Linked DNA regions of Lonchura striata. The protein of the gene in region 1 interacts with the protein of each later gene in a biochemical or structural test. Links are inferred from orthologs where the notes say so. Each region holds a gene or a part of one and is shown on either strand. Other genes may lie near its edges.

What was found. The genes of interacting proteins can lie anywhere in the genome.
Region 2: the proteins of guanine nucleotide-binding protein G(q) subunit alpha (region 1) and PLCB1 form a complex in vitro, tested with the Homo sapiens proteins (2 studies listed by BioGRID, with this or other methods). The link is inferred for Lonchura striata from reciprocal best matches to the Homo sapiens genes GNAQ and PLCB1.

What each region holds. Positions count from the first base shown.
Region 1 is NC_134642.1:24,302,950-24,309,934, forward strand, and holds the start of guanine nucleotide-binding protein G(q) subunit alpha, read right to left. Parts: upstream 3,018-6,985; 5' UTR 2,603-3,017; coding exon 2,467-2,602; intron 1-2,466.
Region 2 is NC_134605.1:24,282,003-24,289,884, forward strand, and holds the start of PLCB1 (1-phosphatidylinositol 4,5-bisphosphate phosphodiesterase beta-1), read right to left. Parts: upstream 3,014-7,882; 5' UTR 2,858-3,013; coding exon 2,759-2,857; intron 1-2,758.

The sequences.
Region 1 (6,985 bases):
TTGGCACTTCCAGAAAAGAAAAAAAAAAAAAAAGAAAAAAAACCAAAGATGTTCACTTATGTTTACATTAAAAAAACCAGCACAAGTGATTTTCTCCCCAAAGCTGAGGGGGAAAGAGATGAAATGGGACAGTAAACATTTATTTAATATTAAAAAAATCAGATTATTTTAAATCAGATCGTTTTCCTGCTACCAGCCTCACTATTTTTGATGAATATTTCATTCGAAAATGGTTTCCTCTGTCTCATAACCATGTAAATGACCCATACAAACAACTTAGCATTCGTTTTACAAATAACTGAGCATTTACTTATGCTAGGGAAACAATGAAAGTGGCTAAAAAAAAAGTGTTCTAAGGTACTTAAGATAAATCCACTTATGAAAGAAGTTCCCATAAATTTCTTTTAGAAATTGAAACTTAAGTCTACAAAATACCAAGACACCAAGAGTCTTTCACTACACACTGCATTTCTCAAGACAAGATCATTATGTTAATCCAAATGTGCGCATACTATTTCTTTCAGTCAAATATATGACAGAGGCTGAGAAAACATTAGTCAGAAAAAATGCATGCACAGTAACAATTTCTGTACTGGTTTTATTAACCAGGTGTATGGATGTGCTCTTAAATACATGCAGCCAAAAGTTCACACCTCCAGATCTCTACATCATGCCTCCACTTTCACAAGCCTGCTGGAAGTCTTAGCTGGCATTGATGAACTCAAGAGTTTTTCCTAATCTTTTCTATGGGTTGGTTTCTCTCCTGTTCTTCTTCAAATCACCACACATTATCTGGTCCAAAGTGATGCCATAACTGGACTCCAGTCTACCACCATCTACCTCAATACTTCATGTTAGTGGTGGGAGGACCTTGCAAAGCAGCTCAAGTTCCGTGTTCCTAACTGCAGAATCTCTTCTCTAGGAAAAATTTCTTCTCTAGGTAATATATATTGGTCTCATTCAGTGAATTTCATACATTTCTGAAAATCTGGGAGAAGCTTCTAGCACTACTGTAAGAGATACCGAGAACATACAGAAAAAATCTGGACCTGAATAACATGTCAAATGTATGAACTGCCTCTCCCGAAGCAAGTGTCTATCATTAATCATACTTAGACATCCATAATATTAAGCAAGGGCAGTCTATTTTATCTTCTTTGTGCATCTCAGAGATCACACTGCCATAAACCAAAATCAGTCAAAAATCCAAAAGAACATTATTATTGTTGAGTGCTGCATCCATGTCACTACTTCTCTCCCAGATCCGTTAGAGATCCCAACCTTGTCTACAAGGAAATAACCTTCAAGAAATAGCATATTCATATGGAAGCACTAAAACGAATTCAAACTTTTCCTTCCAACTTGCCTTACCTTATTGAATAGGCACTTTACTTCCTCAGTATAAACCACTACTTCCATATACATGGCCCAAGAAAAACATCTTCCCTGTAAACATCCCACATCCATTTGGAACATACTCACTCATTCACACATCAGAGAGTAGCACAAAAATACATAAAGGCCTGAGTCCAGGCAGGAACTATTACCACGGAGCTACGCGACACAGTGCATCAGACTGGACACAGTCAAGCAGATTTTAATTCGAAAGCCTTATTTTAACATAAGCCAAATTTCTATTAGATAAATGCCACCTCTGCATATTTCTAAAATATTCTGCAACTCTAAAATAGCAACCTCTGCTTTAATTAAGGAGAAACGATACAGTTGATTTTATTCCCTGACCAGTGGGTGGATGCCAAGGGTATTAAAGATCCTGTAATCATCCAGCACACTTCAGGTTACCCCTCAGCTTGCCATGTGCATCTGGGCCTTTGCGGCTCCCTTCCCTTTGTAGAAACCGGTATGCAAGCTGACCCCAAGCCCCTTATCCAACTTTACCTCAATAAATAAAAATCACAATGAGAAATGCAACCGGTGAGCTAACAACCTTGCCGAAGCCCACGGAACAATGCAGATATCACACCCGCCACCATCGACCTGCACAGCGACTCCCCCTGGGAATCCTTTCCTTAATCCGCTTCGCTACCATCGCTCTCCCACACACATCGACATTTGCCCCTCTCCCCGCAGCCCGCTCACTCACCCGCCATCCATTCCCTCTCCATTTTGGAAGGCCGCTTCCCGTTTCACACCGAACGCCCCCGCCGGCGATGCCCGCAGGCGGGCACACACGCCCCGTTCCCCGCGGCGGAGCTCGGCCTGCGGCTCCCCGCGGCGGGGGCGCCGAGCGCCCGCGGCAGCGCCGAGCGCCCGCGGCAGCGCCGAGCGCCCGCGGCAGCGCAGGCACTGCCGCCGCCCGTGCCCGCCGCCGGATACCTGCGCCGGCACGGACCGCGCCGGCGGCGATGCCCGGGCAGCGGCCGGCGGCACCTGGGGCGTGCGCGGTCCGAGGCGAGCGGCCCGAGGCGAGCGGCTCCAGGCGGGAGGAGGAAGCCCCGCACTCACCCAGCAGCAGCAGCTTCAGCTCGCGGCGGGCGTCCCGCTTGTCCCGACGCAGCTGCCTCTCGATCTCGTCGTTGATCCGCCGGGCTTCCTTGGCTTCCTCGCTCAGGCAGCACGCCATGATGGACTCCAGAGTCATTCTTCCTAACTGGTTCAGACACAGCCCCCACCCCCCCTAAACCCGCACGCACACTCGCACACACGCACCCCGCCGCCGCTCCGGCCCCGGGGGGCACAGGCGCTCTCCGAGAGCCCGGGGGCCGCCGCAGGGCAGGCGCGCAGGCAGAGCAGCCTCGATGCCACAGAAGGGCAAGAAGAAAGGCAGGGCCGCTGGCGGCGCGGATCCCCGCTCCCTGCCGCTGACACCCGCCGCTGCCAACTCCTCCTCTCCTCTAAATCATGCACCGAACAACATGGAAACATCCACCGCGGCGGCAGCAGCAGCGCTACCCAGGCGAGCCGTCCCTCGTCCCGCTGCTTCCCTTCCCTCGCCGCCGCCCGCAGCCTGCGCGGTCCCCGAGTGTCCCTGGCGGCCGCCGACACCCCCGCCGCCCTCCGACGCGACCACCCCACCCCCGTGGAAGCGTTAATGCCCACTAATCCCTCCCCCGCCCCGCACACGCACACATCTCTCCGCCGCTCCCCGCCCCCAGAGCGGGAGCCCGGCTCCTGCGGGGTGGCGAGATCGCCGCTACCCGGCAGGAAGAGCTTTCCCGCGGCCGCTCCTCCTTCCCGCCGCCTCGGCCGCTCGCCCTTCCAAGAAGGAGGCGGGCGTGGTGGTGGTGAGGGAAAGCGGAGCTCGCTGTCGGAGAGCTGCCGCTGTTCGGCTCCGCTCGGTTCGGCCCTGCTCGCGTTGCCGACAGAGCAACGGAAAGGGAAACGAGTGCACTAGCAGGGGTCGAGCCCGACCGGCTTTTAAATGGTCGGGCTCCGCGGGCGTGGTGCGGCAGGAATATGGCGGCGCGGCTCCCGCCGCCGCTCCCGCTCTCTCTCCGCCCCGCCGCGCGGCGGGGGCGAGCGGCCGGGGCGGCCGATCCCCGCCCGCGCTGTGCCGCCCCCAGGGCCGCGCCGCCCGCCCTGCGGCGGCCGAGGGCGGAGGAGGAGTGCGGGAAGAGACCGAACGGATTCCCACTCCAAATGGCTGCGAGGAGCTGTGCCTGCTCCGGCTTGTCCTGACGGGCAGCGCTTTCCCTAACGCCTTGTTTGCTTTCGCTTCCTTTGTTTTTAGACGTGGGCACACATTTTTATTCGGTTCCCATCCTAGAAGAGATGAATTGGGTTGGCAGGGTCTGGCGGAAAATGTGGCCGGCTGAAAGGAAGGAAGGAGTAAGGAGCCGAAAATGCCTTTTCCACCTTTGGCCGGAATGGGAAGGCAGAGCGGGATACGCGCACACCGTCAGGCACCCGGAAGGTTTAGCGCCCTGACTTCTTGCTGGGAAGGCAAAGCCGTGCGTTCGGCACGAACGCGCTGGGACACCCCACGGAACGCCACCGGCGTGGCCGATACTCGGCTGCGGTGAGTTCTATTCGCTCCTCGCCCCGGCCCCTGCCTTAGGCCCGATTTCTGGAAAGCATCCCCGTGTAGCTTTCGGTAGCTCTCGGGGTGATGGCATACAATCGAGCAGAATGCACTCATACACCTTCTAGTTTTTGTGAATTCATAAACTCCTCACAGAATTCCCACACCTGCACTTCCTTTGGCCACCTCCATTTTAAACTACTTGTATCTAGGAATGTTGCCAAATCGGTTGTGAATCTGGTACCTAGCCTAGATAGTGGGTAGAAAGGCACATCACTCTTTTAGCTCCATATCTGAAACCTCACCAGCACCTGCTGACATCTGTTTCGAAATTTATATGCGCTTTCCTAAAAGCTTCCATATGTACTGATAAAATTATTTAAGTAAGGTCTGCTATAAAGAGCAAGACAATGAGGGAATTAAAAATAAACATATAAAGATAATAAAAACAACCAGGAAAATAATACAACCAATTTTTTAGAGCATAAAAAATTACTTATTAAAAATTGCATGATTTTCATGTAGATCTATATTGTACTGGTATGAATAGTGTGTAAAAATGATTTATACAACTTGGAATCTTTTTACTTCATTCCAGTCAATGACTTTTAGTCAAAATTGGGTAGATTAAGCTACTAAGAATAGACTATATTTCACTCAAAGCATATTCTCTCTTTTAAAACCTGTAGGTATAGAAGTGTATCTATGTATTCACCTGTATTGTGTACTGGTCCCAGATGTATTAATATTACATGCAATTTAGATTTCTAAAGTGCCAGCAGTGAATTACAGAGACAACGAGTAACAGAAAAAGAGGGGGAGGTTACTTCAAGGAAACAATTATCAGGGTTTTTGAGATATCAGGGTTTTTTCTTCTAAATGCCAGAGTCCAAAAGAGTGAAGGTGAGTATGGTAAAGCTCACAAGAAATTCTTGTTGGATATTTTGTACATTGTGCCCAAATCCACAGCAATCATCTCCAGGAATCACATCTTGAAAAAATATTAGGAACAGGTCAATGAGTTTTCAATCTTTAGGTAAACTGAATCAATATCTTCTCCAAAACTGAGGGCACACTGTTCTAATAAAAACTGTAATTGTCTACAGTAGAAGAAGTTGGACTAAACTTTCTTACCTGTTTTATATGCTCAGTATAAAAGGCATGAACACAGTGTATACCTCAAATGTAGAACTGCATTTAATTTTGCATTTTTAATAAGACAAGACATGCCACAGACCATAACTGTAATCTGCATGTACCACTTTTATTGATATAACTGGATTTCAAATATTTACAGAATAAATATCTTCATATTTTTAATGGATGAGCCATCTAGTCCTGAATATGGCATCAACAGATAGTCATTATACACTGTTTTACTCATTTGCTTCATGACTTAGTGAAAGTCAGAAGAACCCCATTATGGATAATTACATGATAATAAACCTATGAGGAGATTTCTTTCCAGACCTCAATTCCATAATGATTGGCTTTTGTTTTGAAATGTGAAACATCCTTTATAAATATTTTATCCTAATAACAACTATCAGTAAATAACAGAAATCTTTATTGCGTATGCAGGTAATTATTATCCATAGATACTATCCATGCTGTTATCTAATCCTGGACAGATACTTCCTGATAAGCCTCCCGTAGCACTAATCTCATATTCCTCTATCCAAGTAGTCTCTAGTGCATGGCTCATAGCAACCCATTGCTTGTGAGATGTTTTGATGTTGCTTACTGCCACAGGAAATTAAAAGTGAGACTGTCAGAGGGAGAAAAGATATACTTGCATCCTTGGTATTCTTACTCATAAAACAGTAAAGATTTGGAAACTACCACTATGTTTAATCATGTCCATAGCATTCTTTGCACTAAGCTATCTTAGTTTTCAATTTCTTCCTTCCATATGCCTAAAGATATTTATTGTCTCTTTTTTCCGTCTTTTCTGCCTAAGAAAGGTTTTCTGTGATGTTTTGACAGGTTCCAAATGGTATCTGAACTTGGTACTCACATGACAGTATACTAGAAGATTGTGTATAGCAACATCATAGGATTTTCATAATTTGTGAGTGCTTTTTCGTTGCCATTGTTCATTAAGAAGATATTTGCACAGTGCTATGCAGAAGTACATCCCAGTCTTGTTTGTGAATGTTTCTAGTAAATTTAGAGGCTGTCAGTATGTCTGAGTTGAGCAAATTACCCTTCCAGTATGCCCTCCTAATCAGGTTTTTCTTTGCTGGTTTTGTTTGGGTTGGAGTTTTTTGTTGTTGTTGCTGTTGTTGTTTTTGTGTGTTTTTTTTGTTTGGTTGAGTTTCTGGGAGGTTTTTTTGGGTTTTTTTTTTTTTGTTTGGTTGGTTTTGGGGTTTTTTAAAGGGGGAAAAACCCAAATAAAATGTATCTGCTGTTTTCTGCTGTTAAATGAATAACATCCAGCAATTTCCTTCAGCAGATATCCATTTGTTCCAGTGTGTTTTGACAAATTATCTTCTGAATGTTTCTCAGTGTTCCTTATTTCAAAGCAAAAAGTGTCTGCCAAGGTGCTAAGGTACAGACCAATGACTAGGGAAGAGTTAACCCGCTGTTTTCTCATCTGATTTTTCTGGAATTTTGGAAACTTCTTCCCTTCTGTGTGTTTGTATGTCAGGGTTCTTATGGAAGACCTGTATCTGAAAAAGCTTTTTTTATTTTTTGAAACACTTTTGTTCTTCAGACGCATCTCTTAACATTCTTTTGCCCCGGCACTAGAAGAGGGGTGTTGTGCAGAGAAGCGCGTGTGGCAGTCCCCGAGCGCAGCGCGGTGCAGGACGCGCACCCCGGCTGAGTGCGCTGCACCAGGAGCCAGCATCCTGCCCACACCACTCCTCGCCTGCCTGCACGGCCGCTGCCTGCTCCAGCAGGACAGGCTAGCAGCCGCATGATTTGGCACCTTAACTGTGGGCAGAACTGAATCCTGGTGTATTGTGTTGGGTGGGAATTTTTTTGGTTGTTAGGGTTTGT
Region 2 (7,882 bases), on another chromosome or scaffold:
AGCCAGACCTTTTTAATTGATCCTAATGCTTTTTTAATTTATAAACTGAAGATGGTCTGCAGAGGAAATAGAATTCCAAGCCTTCCACCTATCTGTGATCTGGAACGGCTGATGTGACCTCCTCCTCTGCACTTCACCAAGCTCAGGCACAGCATTTCCCTTTCCAGCTGGACCATCCCCACAGGGCAGGGGCAGCAGGTACTGGATGAGGCTCATGGGTCACACGTAGCAGATTTCAGTGCTGTTCCTCAGAGGGGGTTCATGAGAATTGTCAGTACCACATCTGCTAGCAGCACCTCAGTTACTGACCAGGCACAGAGCTATGAGAGGCTCAGGATGGGAGGTCCATACATGGACTGGTTTCCAAGTCTGTACCACCACAGGTTTTGTCAGACAACAGCTTGCACAGCTTGCCACAGTGTCCTTCTCAAAGCTGGCAAACACTTTCTGTAATGCTACTCCACACAATACAGAATTCCTTCAACGCCTCTCACGCTCTTGTTTAAATGCTTCCAGCATTCCCATTAGTTTAAAGCTCAGCTAGAAAAATTTTGCTTTGGGCTGAAACTTGGTATGAGTAGTAAGAATTCACAACAACCACTTCTGCTTCATAAAACGCAAAGCAAAGTCAGTAGGGCCATCTTTAAACTGCAACCCAAAACAGCAGGGAAGAGAACAAGGAGAGGATAGAAGCTGTCCCAGTGCACAGGGGATGTGGAAGAACTGAACTCCCACTCTCACACAGTGAAAAGAAACGATGCTTAACAAACATCAGTGTATGAGCCAGAGTGGCAGAGGAAACTCCCTTCCCTTGAAACCTTGGATTCTGTGGGGCTTCCACTGCTGAGAAACTACAGGCAAGACAGGAGGGCTGAGGGGTGGGAAACATGCAGATATATACACACAATGCACAGTCAATGAGCTAATGCTAGAATTCTTAATCACAGTGTGGCTAAATGGGCATCAACTTTCACAAGGCTGACAATGAAAGCAATCACTAGGCACAACAGGACTCAACTCAGTCACATATTCCAGGTAACACCTGTGGACTGCTGAGTAACACCTTTAACACAAAACACAGATCTTTCTCCAGAATTTAGCCATGTTTTATTAGTGCAGCCTTCAGGTTTACAATTTTAAATCTTTCTATCAACTAGCCTGTAGCAGGCAGGTTATCGGGTGAACATCCACTGCGCATGGATGCGCCTCTTAATTTTTCAATTCTATCTACGCAACTATTATTTGGGAAATAGCACTCTAATAATTTAAACTGTTACCTGATGGCTTGGAGTTTCAGTCTGGAGACTCAAATCATCGTTAACCTGACCTCTGCATACACACGCAAAAGTTTCTTGGTAGCTTACCAAAAATAAAACAATAACTGCAATGACAAGGCTGCCTTTTCCTACCCTAAGGAAAACGTTAACCAAAAGAAAATGTTTTCTGGTTCAAGCATAGTTCCTGAACATACAGAACCTATATCAAGCCACTGTTTGGTATTGCGGACAAGGTCAGTTTGCCGAGCCTTTTAAAAATGTGTTAGCTTATTACTGTAAATAAAACTTCACAAGTTGTTTGGTTTCTGATTTCTCTTTCTCCTTAAGAGTGTTTGTCACAGGCTTACAGGGGTCAGACTCACACTATTTGGCTGCTGGACAGGCTGAAAGAAACGGCAAAAGAACAAGACACAAGCCAAGAACAGTGGTTACAGATGAACTGCTCCTCCCTCACTGCTGTCCCTCCAGTTGTTGCTGTGGATGTCTTTAGCACAGCCAAGATCACAGCAAACACGCAAGAGCTCTGAGAACAAACTCATTCTCAACAATTCTCCTGACATTCAGACTGCATGTCTTCTCTCCCAACCATTTCTCTACCTCAGCTCGAGTCTCACGATGCCTCTGTGCCCCCAGACACCGTCCACAGAGTTTCTGGGGCACCTGCTCCTCCGCGCACAACTGAGACACATACAGCCAGCGTGGGACTGCCAGAGCAAAAGCAAGCAGAGGACTCGTCCTGCTCTCTTTCTCTGCAGGCTTAGAAAAAGGCAACTCTGACGTTTAGCTCTCCTTTGCTCTGAAAGTGTCCCGGGCATAGCCAGCATGCCAAGGAAGAAATCCCAGCTGCCCAGCCAAAGGTGAGGTGGAAACTGCACTCCTTTCCTATATGAGGCTATACAAACGTAAAGGGTTGGGAAACAGCAAGCAGTAAAGGGAAAACAGATACGATGGTGTGGCAAGTCTCATGCCCTAATGAGCCAAGAAAGAAGAGTGTCTTCTGCAGAGGAAGTAAAGCGACCGAGGGTACCCAAAACTGGGAGAACACATTAGGGCTTGACAACTCCACCAGAACAAGAGAGACAGCGAGAGAAGCAGGCGCCAGAAGGAAAAGGCGAGGCTGAGAGGAGGAGACGGGAGATGGAACGAGAGAACAGGTTGAAACAACTACATTAGGAAGACAGAGGCGGCAACACGCACACCGAAACGCGGGAGGCGGGAGAGGAAGACGCTGGCGAAAGGAGCCAGCCCAACACAGCCCGCACCGGCCAAGCGCAACTCGACAGGAGAGACCTCGGAAAGTTTGCCCGGCATTCGGCCGCCGGCCCAACGCCGCCGCTCGGCCCGGCAGCACCCGGCGGGGCCACCGCTGCGGCCGCCCCGCACCTGCCCTCCGCGCCCGGCGGGACAGGGCCCACAGCCCTCCCGCCCGATCGCCCCGCAACCCCGCCGTGCCCCTGCCGGGGGGAGCGGGGGCTACTCACATCGTCCCACTTGACGAATTTGACGCCTTTCTTGAGGGTTTCGGAGACGCAGACGGGCTTGAGCTGCAGAGCGTGCACCCCTGGCTGTGCCCCGGCCATCTGCACCGCATGGACGCGCTCGCTCTGCCCCGGCGCGGAGGAGCCGCGGGAAGCGGCCGCTGCAGGAGGGACGCCGGGGCGCCGGAAACCCGGCAGAGAGGCCGGCAGAGGCGCCGGGAGCGGGCAGGGAGGCGGCTGCCCGGGCGGCGAGGGCGAGAGGCTTCACTGGCGCTGGCCCAAGGAGCTGGCGCGGCAGCGGCCGGGGCGAGCCATGCGGCGGCACATCCTCTATATACCGCCGGCCCGCCCGCTCCTCTCACACACACGCACGCACGCAGGGCACGGAGCCGCGGCGCTGCCCGCTCCGCTCCCTCCCTCCGCTCCTCCTCCCGCCCCGCCAGGCTCGGCCCCCGAGGTTCCCCCGCGCCCAGGGCAGCGCCGGCGGCGCCGCGGCGCCACCTCCCGGCCGCCTTCCGCCGAGCGGAGGCGCGGCCCCGCCGCGGCTCCTCCGGCAGCCAGGAGGACGGCAGGAAACGCTGGGAACGGGAGATCCGCCTCCTTCCGCGGGAAGCACGCGTGGGGCTCCGAAACGCTCTGCAAGGGAGCGAGGGTGAGTGTCCGTGCGTCTCGTCCCACTGAGAGATGCGGCCAGGAGCGCTCCCGCGGGCCGCTAAATTTCCGCACCGGGAATTTCACAATGGTTGGCGTTGGAAGGGACCTCTGGAGATCACCCAGCCCAGCATCCCTTCCAAGGCAGGGGCACCTGAGGCAGGTGACACAGGAATGTGCCCAGGTGGCTTTGGGAGATGTCTCCGGAGAGGGGGATTCCACCCAGTGCTCTGCCACCTTCAACGCAGTTCTCCCTCCTCTTGAGTGAAACTTTTTATCTTTTAGTTTTGAGGGAATAGTTTTGGCAAAAGCAGAGGGACAGCGCTGACTGAGCCTGCATAGTGATGCCAAAAGAGGAACAACTTTTAATTGAAAGAGTGGCACAAACAATTCCCAAAGCTTCATGCTTTAAATACACAGAAACTGCTTTACCACAGCTTTTTGATCTCATCACATGGAGAGGCTTCCTCAGAACAAAGGAATGTGACCTTAATTCAGTTTTAGGTATACTCAGCTCAGAAGGCATAAGGATGGCAAAACATCCTCTCACCCAGAAAAATTCTAACTCCAGAGGTTTTAAAGGAAAATATTTTTAAAGAACAAAGTGCTCCACAAAATGACCTCTCTGTTAGAGCCCCTGTGCAGAGATAAAGCATCAGATGACACAGCATATGAGATTTCTAATTTCTCTGTAGGGGTTTCCAAGTGACCCTTGGGATTTAGGGGCAGCAGGCCAAATTTCTGCTACAGACAAAGCAAATGACACAGAAAAAAATGTATTTGTATGTATTTTTAACTTAGTTTGGAGGAATTATATTTCAAACTAGTACCAAGTATTTTTTCTTAAATTTGAGTCTGGAGATGTTGGTTCTGGGTTTGTTTGTTTTTTTTTTTTTAATTAAAAACCTACAAAACTGGCATATTGGACTGCTGATTTGCTCTTACTATAAAGAGTTGCTAAAGCTTTTCCTCTGGGCCTTTTCCAGATTCTTCCCCTTCAATGAAAGACTTTTGATTGCCTTTAGTGAGAGGTGAATCTGCTCTTTCACCATAGCCTGTGCACACAGCGGACACATTTCAAGGCCAATTAATCCACTGGATCTATTTTTTGTTCTTATTAACCTTCCCTGCAAACATGGGTGCCACATCAGTCAGGATGAGAGCCTGCTCTCTCCCTGCTGTGCTGTAATTCCCAGCCATTTGCCATGACTTAAAGCAACAATAACCAATTCTGCCTTTGACTGCACTGACGGATGGGGTTGCTCCATGCGGGGGAAAAGGGAGAGATTTTCAGGGCTATTTGCACAACGGCCTTTTCATCTCATTTCATATTGCATATACAAAAGAATGAAAATACTACTAAAACCCACAGAAAATAAGAGCATAGAATACTGGTGCTACAGTACTTACTTGTGATCCTTTAACTCTTGCATTCCCAGTAGTCTACTGAAATCAGAACTTGGGAAGATGTAAACCTGCCAGGAATAGTGGCACTTCTGTGGCAGTTCTCAACAAACCCACAAATCCACTTTTATTTGACCTAGACTCATTTACAGTCTTTGTTAGGGAAAAACAAATCACAATTTATGATAGCTCAGGATTCATGATGAAGCCATAGGCTCCCAGCAACCATGGACCTGAACATGGAAGAAGTGTGCCTATGGATAAGGATAGGCTCTAATACTGGTGCCTTCTGTAACTTCATTACAGAGACAAAGTTTTGTCTGGAGCAATTCTGTGGTTTTTCAGACTTGCGTATTTTAATCTGATAGTATTTGTCTGAAGAGAAACACACCTTTCATATGGCAGGTATCTAATGAATTTTCCCTCAAGAGGAAGAAGCAGCACAAAAGGAAATGACATTATGCCTGGGCCTTTTAAACTACAGCTCTGGAAAGTGCTTGTGATTCAGCCTGTGCTGAAATCCAGGGCTCTGTGAAATCAGTGGGAATTTTAGTTTCAACCCAGATAGCTAGCTCATGTGTTACTGCTATTGCTTCACTGGCATCTGCTGCAGCAAGGAGCACATTACTTGGTACCTAGTACATACTGCAAACACAATTTGGGTGTCTCTATCTAGATCCTTTCCCACCAAGCTTGGGATCAGAGACCTGGAAACCAGCTCTACTCAGCAGGATTGTTACACCCAGAAAGAGTACAAAGACTTTGTCCTTAAATGATTGGCCTAAGCCTTGTAAAAGAAAAACCAGGTGCCTTTCTTCAAAGCTTCAGTTAAGACATCTACACACTTATTTTCTATTTCTTCTTCACTCAGCCCCTTCCAGTTCTAAGAGTGAAGGAAAGATGTGGTGTTAGAAAAAAAAACCCAGCCAGCAATAGGCTTATTCGAGTGGTTATTCCAAATCATACAAATCAGATGTAATACCTGGCTGGTCTCATGTTGCTGCAAGAACTATTTCAGGATACTTTCATTTCTCTAGGCTCAAAAATCTCAGCCTAGACAGTAAAGTGATTGCCTTACATAGATAATACAAATTGTTCAAATGCAATATACCCAATAAAGCATTATTTTTTATATAAGGGGCTTAGGTACCAATATTTCATTTCCAGAGGAATAACTGAATACACAATGTTTTAGATACACATCTGGATGTGTGTAAACAAATCAGGAAAGGAGCGAAAACTAATTTAAATAACAGATGGCTTTGACCAAAGTCAAATGAAGACACGCAAAAACTACACAGACTCTGTGAAGTGATATGAGAAATGCACTAAAACCTAAATTTACTGTTTTAAATTTGGGTTCAGAGAAATAATATATTAAATCTCTATTTCACTTGCTATTCTGAGTTTATTGGTGCAATTCTGGATTTTGAAGAGAAGCAGGGACCTCAGCCTTGCAAATGCTTCCTTGCAATGGTGCACTAAGAGTTAAACATAAGTATTTGCAGGATTTGGGATTAAAGCTTTACTTCTGGTGAAGCTGAGTTTATCATCCTTACTGCATTTTAAATTGGGTCAAATTATACTCTAATTATCAGTGGGAGCAGGATAATTAAGTTCTATGGAACAACTCTGGAAAAGAAATACAGAAAATGTGGCACTCTCTCTGATTAATGCTCAGTGCTTCTGCTAAAATGCTACTTTCACGTCATGCAGACAGCAAAGCTCATACCTGACTGAGACAAGTGCCACAAGGTGTGGGGAAGCTGCTTTGTGTGCTAAGAAATGCCACCTTCCAAATGCAGAAGTCACTCATTTACTGAGAGAGATCATCTGCTAATTCTTCCATAAGCTGATGGCCAGAGGCCACTGGAATCTGTTTATGTTTCATCTGCTCCCTTCACAAGATGCCATACATACAGAACAGCAGTCAGATACAGCCTTTATCTTCACCAGTGAGCCTGATAACTTCTGTGGCACAGCCACTCAATCAGGTGACTCTGCAAGAGTGAATATAAAATTCTGGCACACAAACCACCACCATAGCAACAAAGACAGCCTGGCAACAGCAGCTGCTACACTGAAATTGGAAGGGGAGGGGAATCTTGTACAAAAATCCATTTCCTGTTGAAATCATCTTAATTTTTCCCTCACATCAGAATCACAAGTATCTTTAAAATACTGGGAGAATAAATATTAATGCACAGTGATGGAAATTATGACACAAACAGTATCTTTGTGTAAATGAAGTGGCTGGGTCACTGCTACATTCATGGGGACCATGTTTTATTTTGGATGGATTTTGATCTGATGCACAGCTGGCACCTGTGGAACTCCACATCACCAGAAACAGTCCACAATCCTCCAGAAAACACACTGTGTGAAAAAGAATGGACCCTAGTTGTTTGGACAGAAGATGCTGCTAGCAGAATTCCTCACCCAACTGAGACGTCTTACCCTGCTCTTTCACTGGGGATGGGCCCTGGTTTGAGAGGCCCTTCCCTGATGCTGCTCCATCCCATGGGCCCCTCTCCATGTCCCCCAGCAAGCCCTGACACTCTTTGCCTACTTAACATCTCCTGAAAAATCCCCAAACTATTACTAGAAGAACCCAAAATTGCTATTCTTGCAACAGTTAAAATGGCAAGTTAAAGAAGTCAGATAATGCATTCCCTAGCAAGTGTTAATTCACCTTTTAGGTATTATAATCTGTTCTTGCTTCCTTGTTCAATTTACAGCATAATACGTTTTGGTTTTTTTTACAGGTTGTTAAAACCAGTCCATAAAACATACAACACATTTAAGAATGTTAAAGTTAATTATGAAATATTTCATGGCCTACCAGGTTTATTAAATCACAGGTGGAGTAAACTGCCAAAGGTCCATTGACTTCAAAGCTGTGCATTTGTCTATTCCAGTAACATGTGCACCTTTGCCTTTTTTTGTTCTCTTCCAGCTCTTAACTTTTGTCCCAGCTGCATAGGCAGATTAAAAGCCTCCCAAAAGCAGGCTCTCACCTGCTTTAATTTACATCCAAGCTGAGCTGTGACGTGAACTAAAAGACAAAAATAT